Linked DNA regions of Pelodiscus sinensis. The protein of the gene in region 1 purifies or fractionates together with the protein of each later gene. This does not show direct contact. Links are inferred from orthologs where the notes say so. Each region holds a gene or a part of one and is shown on either strand. Other genes may lie near its edges.

Region 1 (3,751 bases):
TTCTATAGTCCCCAAAGGTGGGGCCACGAGCCAGTGTGCTTTGGCCTCACTCCCGAAGAGACCCCTGTCACTTTACGCTGTTGCCTCTGTATGAGAGGTGGCAGCGTGGGATGCTAGGCAGGACCTGATCCATGAAGAGAGCCAATTTAAAAACCAGCTCTCCTCACGGACTGCCTGCCTGTCACCCCGCATTGCTGCCTCTGTTATAGAGGCAGCAGCACAGCAGCAGCACAGGGTGACAGCAGCTCCTGTGCCGTGGTGTGGGGGGGCAGGGAGAGAGTCTTAGCTTCCGGACCCAGTGCAAGCCAGAACTGAGCCGGGCTACCTGCCCACCCAGTTCCTAATACACTTTAAATGCAGAGCAGCAGTGGGGAAGGTCTCTAACCCAATGTGCGCCAGGACTGAGCCAGGCTGCTGGCCAACCTGCTAAAAAAATTTACTGGCCAGGTGAGGGAAGGGGGGGGGGGGGGAGAATGTGTGTAGTCTATAGCATTAACCAACAAGCTTTTGCTTATCGGTTAATCCACTATACTATTACATCTCTAGCCCAGAGTGCACTGCACCTACCCCAGACAGCACTGAGCACTGCCCAGAGTACTGTGTATGGGGGTCTGGCAGCAAGTTAAAGGATCCAGGGCTCCAGCCATCACAATAGTGGTAACAATGGTGGCCAGGAGTACCATGCCACGGAGCAGTTGCCCCCTTTGCCATCACCTTCTCCACCTCCACCCCCAGGTTCCCAGACATTGTCCATATAGGAAGGTAAATAATACCAGTACACACTTTTATACTCAAACACATGCATATCAGAGTTTTACTGGTATGACAATTTTGGTTAAGTACAGCTTTACCCCAACAGATAAAAGTTACAGTGACAATGGGGGGAAAAAAAGGTAGATCGGGCTTAATAGCAAAGGCACTTAACATCTACAATAGCATTTTTTTTCAGTGAAGCTTTTGCTGGTCGGGGGATGTGAAAAAACCTACAACCCTGATGGACACAAGTTTCACCGACAGAAGCACCAGTGTGGTCTGCACTACACTGGTGGAAGATGCTCTCCCGCCAACATTGTTGCCACTTGTTGGGCGTAGTGTTATTATGTCGAGAGCTCTCTCCTGTCAGTGTAGAGACACAGGAGACCTTAAAACACTGTAGCTGCAATGGTACAGCTGTGTAACTGTAAGGTCTGTTGTGTCAACAATGGACTCATTTCATGTTAGCCAATGAAAAATACCAGACAGTACCAATTTTCAGCAGTGACAGAGTTCAAAGGTTTCACATCACCATGAGCCCCAAATACATTTTTCTAGTTGTAACTGACAAAGTCATTACATATACAACTACAAATGTAATAAGACATCCAAATATATTTTACAATCATTACTCCACTGTTACATGCTCACAATAGCTTCCACTTTTTAAATATCTATTGCTATCACTAGTGTATTTGCATTTTACATGTAAGAAATACCTTTAGTCCCTTATGTTACCACACAGTACATAATTCTCTAAAGAGAATGAAGGCACGTGGTATAAAATATGGGCCTTAGTCTATAATCCTTAGTCATGTGATTTTTTTTCTCTTAACTAAGAATCCCATGAGCTCAACAGGACCACTCATGAGCTAGTTTCAAGACTGGACCCTGCATACCTGTACAACCACTTAAACACAGTCACCTTTCAGATGAAGGCAAGCAACATGACCTTGCACTCCAGAGCATGCTGAACAATGATAGTGGGAGGTGATTTTACTACAGGTGCAGCACAAGCGCCTATTCTTTTACATATGTATTACAGGATATTTAAGGACCTCTCTTCATCTGAGCACATCCTGATGGAATCTGTACATTCTCACTACATCTACATAGGGGAATTCAAAAGTTATTGTGCCACAGTCCCCACTCCACTTCTCCTCAGGCAGGACCAATGTACCTCAATTACTATAACAGGAGCACTGAGCCACTCACTGCAATGTGTTGATTTCACAATAGTAGCTAATTAAACCGTTTTTTGCTCGTAACTTTCATGTTCAATCAACATGCAAGAGGAAAACGCTCCAGAACTGTAAAGGCCTGGAATGGGGGCGGGGGGAAGAGGATCTATTCTAAAAATCTTCCCAGGGAAGGACTGAAGAGGGCAGGGGGGAAACGTTGATTGCCTGGGGGGAGGGGGTGCACGGGAGGACACAGAGCAAAGGGGCTGTGGAAACGGGAGGGGCGAATTGTTTTCAATGGGCGCTGGGTGAGTGGCTACACCCCACGTCTGTCCTGGTGAGGGAGAAAAATTAATGGGGCGGGGCAGGTTACAGAGCCTAATGGAAGAGAGACATCGTGCAAGACACCGCCACGGGCCCCAGCCCACAGGGCCCAGCCAGCACCGCGGGTCCGCCCCCCGGCCGCCAGCCCGCTCCCCCGCTAAGGTCACAGCGCCAAGGGGCCGCGCGGATCCCCCGCCCCGCCGGGCCCTCGCGTAGCCGGGCGGCCGCAGGAGGCTTCCCCCGGGCGGCGCGCTCCTACCTTCTGGGCTTTGCTCTGCTGCTGCAGCACGTTCTGCTCCACGGTCATGGCCCCGGCCCGGCGCCGCTGCCCGCCTCCCCCCGGCGCGGGGCAGCGGCTGCAGGCGGCGCGGGCAGCGGAGAGGCAGGGGCCGGGCCCGGAGCCGGGGAGGGCGCGGGGAGCGCGGGGAGGGAAAGAGCCGCTCAGGCCCGGCTGCTGCAGCTACCGCCCAGCCCGGCCCGGGCCCTGGAATGTGCCGCCAGCTCCGCCCTCGGCTGCCAGCCCGGCCCGCCCAGCACCGCAGCCAGCCCCCGGCCTGCTCGGCTCCCACCCCGCGCCAGGGCCCTGCTCCGCCCTCCTCTGCCTCCCCCGGCCGCCACCGCCCTCATCCCCCCCGCCCCTCTCCTCAGCCAGTAAGCAGCGGCACCGTCTTCCCTCCACCCCAACTCTCCACTACTACTGCCCTTCCTCCTTCCACACTCCTCTCCTCCTTCTTCACCAGTTACCACAGCAGCAACTTGCTCAACTATGGGCAAGGGTTGCTGGGCTCCCTCCCACTCGGGTCCCTCCTTCTCTTGATCCTCAGAAGCTGTTCCCATCTAACCGCTAGTGTTAATAGGTCTTATTCTACTGTCAGGGTGCCAGGAATCAGGACCTCATTCTCCTGGACACTGTACAAGCACAATATACTGTCCACCCTCCCCAAGCGAATGCCTCTCCTCCTCTAATCACTAGTGTTCTTACATTCCTCCTCCTCGGGCCCTGGCAGCGGTACCTCATCTGTCACAATTAGGGTTGCCAGATGGTTTCAACAAAAATACCAGACACACTTGACATTACATCACAATCTACATTACATCTTATTTAGAAAATACTGGACATTTATATTTTCTTATTTATATTTCCTCAATGTTTCCCAAACAGAAAGCTTAAATACTAGACTGTCTGGTTCAAAACGACACCTGGCAACCCTAGTCACAATCCCTAATTACATCCCTAGCCCATTCCTTTCCAATTCCTCCACCTACTTACTCTGTCCAAGAGAAGCAGCAGGACTTCTGCTCTCTCCCTTCGCTATCCAGTCACTAGTGTCAGGGTACGTCTACACATCATAGCTAAATCGGAAATAAGCTAGGCAGCTTGAGCTATGTCAATTGCGTAGCTTAAGTTGAAATAGCTTATTTCAGCTTTTGATGCTGTCTACACAGCAGTAAGTCTGAGAACGAGCACTCTTTCTCCAACTACCTTTAAACCT
Region 2 (3,751 bases), on another chromosome or scaffold:
GAGGAGGGTTGGCGAATGTAGCAAGCAGGGGGCACAGCCCCCTAGTAATGCATAATTGAAGTAATTGTAATGTAACTACAATAATACAAAGTTGAGGTGCTATTGCTGACAAACACAAAGTAATGCATATTGGAAAATCTAATCTAACTATACATACAAAATGATGGGGTTTATATTCATTGTTACTACTCAAGAAAGATCTCAGAGTCATTGTAGCTAGAGCTCTGAAAGTATCGACTCAATGTTTAATGGTACTCACAAAAAGCTAATAATGTTAGAGCCATTAGGAAAGAGATAGATAATAAGACAAGCAATATCATAATGCCAGTATGTAAATCCATGACGCACCCACACCTTAAATACTGTGTGCAATTCTTTTTGCCCTAATAAAAATATATATATATATTATAATTGGTAATAGTACAGAGAAGGGCAAATAAAAATTATTAGAGATATAGAACAGCTTTCATATGAAAAGAGATTTAAAAGCCTGGGATTTTTCAGCTTGAAAAAGAAACAAGTAAAGGGGGATATAAAATGAATCAGTATTATTTACTCCTTCACATAATATAAGAATGAAAGGTCACACAATTACATTAATCATTTGGTTTTAAACAAACAAAAAGAAGTATTTCTTCACTCAACACAGTCAATCTGTGGAACTCGTTGCCAGGAGATGTTGTGAATAGGATATTAAAAACTGTGTAATAGGGTAACTCTATCACTGCTGAAAATCACAGCAGTTACAGAGTTACCTGCTGAAAACTCAGCAGTTACACGGTTACCTGAAATGCTAAGCCTTATATTGCAGAGCCCACATAGGAGCCTTCCTGGGAGAAATGGCCACCAGTCCCTATCAGCCCGGATCCTGGAGAGGAGGCTGTGTGTAACAGACACCATTAACCAATAAGCATCTGCTTATTGGTTAAACAGTTAGTCATTTACATTCTTACATCCCTTGTTGTGAATACTAAAATTATAAAAGCGTTCACAAAATAATTAGATATGTTTCAGGAGGAGAAGTTCATCAATGGCTATTAGCCATGATGAGCAGGGATATAACAATGTGCTCACATGACTGACTCTTTATGGATGCTTTGATGTTATTCCCCTGAAAAATGCTCAATTGAGCAAAACTCAAATTTCTGAAACCAAGGATATACACTTGGAACCTTAACTCTTGCTTCTTGAAGCAATGCCTCTGTAGCTCTTGTTAACACTCATACCTTTGTTCCTCCTGTGTCATACTTACTGAAATGCACAAGCTCTTCACCTTGTCTTACAACCAATTCACTCTTACCCACAGAATTCCATCCAACACTTTTAAAAAACAAAAAGGAAGGTGGGGGGTTGTCCATGTCACCTTCTAACTTGTCCCCTGGAAATGAGAGTAGGCAATGCGAGTTATTCACATATACTGTAAGTACAATCACTTGTCAGGCATTAGGTGCAAGTGAAGGCAGTAGTTGGGCCTTTTTGATAAAGCTGCGTTGTAATATGAGGACATTCGTAGATTATCCTGGGTATGGAACAGTTGTGATTATGATGTGAGGAGATCTGTTTTGCACCTTTCAGTGTTTGTGAGCAAAAAGAAGAGATGCTCGTGCCCCTTTAGAATCCATTATGCATCAGTTCAATGGCAAATTACATAGGTTATGTCAGTAGCAAGGCCTAGGGATTTTATTACCAGGATTATTGTCAACAGTGAGGTGGAATATGAGAGGATTTTAATGTTATAATGATGTCTTAATGAAAGCACAGGTTGAGAAGATGTCCTGTGATTAAGTGTAGGGATGTTGCAAAAAGCTGTGAAGACATTCTTAAATTGTACACACGTGATATTCTTAAATTCTATATGCATGATATTCTTTCTAGGGAGCTGATTAAGAATCTGTGTGAGATCTGGATCTGGAAGCTCCTCAATTTTAAGCCATGTCCACGCTACACAACTATATTGGTATAACTACGCAATTTGGGATGTAAAAAATCTACATCCCTGAGCAATGTAGTTATACCGACCTAATCCCTTATGTAAATGGTGCTGTCATAGCTATGTAACCACTATGTCTCCCATCAATGTAACTATAGCCTATCAGGGAGGGGGATTAACTAGACTGCTTCATCTACATAGCTGTAGTGCTGTATGTGAAGACAAGCCTTTCTAGTGCCAAAGGCTAGCATTACTTGTGTCTATGTGCATACTGACTGACACACTGCTTGAAGAGCGTAGAGGGAAGGTGGCATGGGCAGCCTCCCTTTCCCACTCCCTTTTTATCCTTTTGCAGTGTTAGATGGAACCCTATTGGTAAGAGTGAATGGGATGAAAATTAGTTGAAATATACATGCTCTTCACCAGCTTAAATACCGTCCACAATTTGGACCACCAAACACTAGATGCCATTCATTACAAAGAGTAAAAATTTACTGAGACCATTTTGACCCACATCACAGCAACAGTTTGACCTCCAGTTCTGCACATAAAAATCCTACAATCATAGAATTTTAAAAGTAGCTTTTTTCAGGGATTATACCTCCAGAATCCTTGGCTCAAAAGACCTCCAATTTGGGACACTGATCCTATTCCAGATTCCCACAAGGAACAGCAATGTAAGAATATAAGAGCAGCCATACGGGGTCAGACCAAAGGTCCATCTAGCCCAGTATCCTGTTTTCCAACAGCAGCCAATGCTAGATGCCCCAGAGGGAGTGAACAGAACAAGTAATCATCAAGTGATCCTTCCCCTGTCACCCATTTCCAGCCTGCGATAAACCCATCCTGGCTAATAAGTATTGATGGACCTATCCTCCATGAATTTTAAGAAAACATATGAAAAGGTGGCTCTTAAAGCACTTAGAAGTGTTGTCATTCAAACAAGACAGAGAGGGATGATGGAGAGAAAGCGCTCCTTTATACATCCCTCTGCAGCAGAGAAGGCTCTGAAAGGTGTGAATGAGACCAGTCCATAAAGATAAACAGGGCTCGACAAATAATGTAATCTACTCGCCCGTGGCGAGTAGATTACAACCCGGAAGAGCCGGCACAAAGCGATCTGCGCACCGCGCGGCTGGCGAGCCTTGGAGATAAACACAACCTGAACCAATAACTCAGACACAAAACCACCCACTTATCTCAGTGGTTGTCCATTCTCAGCTCCCAACACAAAAGACAACGATTTCCCCACATCCTGACTTACATGCAGGGGTAGGAAGGAGATCAGACTCTCCCAAAATTTCAGTTGCCCCCCCCCACCCTATGTGGCAGGGTATAAGGATGTTAAATATCAGTTAACTGAATAGTTGAGTAACCTCACAAATTCTTATCAGTTAGTTGACTATTCTATAGTCCCCAAAGTCGGAGCTGGAAGCCAGTGTGCTCCAGCCCCACTCTCGACGAGTCCTCTGCCACTCCATGCTGCTGCCTCTATATCAGAGGCAGCAGCACGGGGTGCCAGGCGGGAGCTGGTCCACAAGAGGAGCCAGTTTAAAAACCAGCTCCCCTCATGGGACCCAACATGAACTGGAACTGAGCCAGGCTGCTGGCCAGCCTGCTAAAAAATTTACTGGTGGCGGGGGAAGGGGGAGGAGAAAGACTGAAGGAAATGCATGTAGTTTATAGTATTAACCTATAAGCTTTTGCTTATTGCTTAATTGACTACACCAGAGTCCGCAGCCCGCTTATTTGCCGCACTCAGTGCAGTTTGGGTTTACGTGGGGTTCAACATACAGCCCATGGGTAGGTAGGAGCCAAAAT

Evidence for each region. The genes of interacting proteins can lie anywhere in the genome.
Region 2: the proteins of USP25 (region 1) and BTBD9 purify together in Homo sapiens (affinity purification with mass spectrometry; 3 studies listed by BioGRID and IntAct, counting the BioPlex papers as one, with this or other methods). This does not show direct contact. The link is inferred for Pelodiscus sinensis from reciprocal best matches to the Homo sapiens genes USP25 and BTBD9.

Annotation. Positions count from the first base shown.
Region 1 is NC_134711.1:172,436,750-172,440,500, reverse strand, and holds the start of USP25 (ubiquitin carboxyl-terminal hydrolase 25), read right to left. Parts: upstream 2,790-3,751; 5' UTR 2,566-2,789; coding exon 2,518-2,565; intron 1-2,517. UniProt on the Homo sapiens protein: Deubiquitinating enzyme that hydrolyzes ubiquitin moieties conjugated to substrates and thus, functions in various biological processes including inflammation and immune response.
Region 2 is NC_134713.1:142,227,086-142,230,836, forward strand, and holds the start of BTBD9 (BTB/POZ domain-containing protein 9), read right to left. Parts: upstream 2,342-3,751; 5' UTR 1,359-2,341; coding exon 1,253-1,358; intron 1-1,252.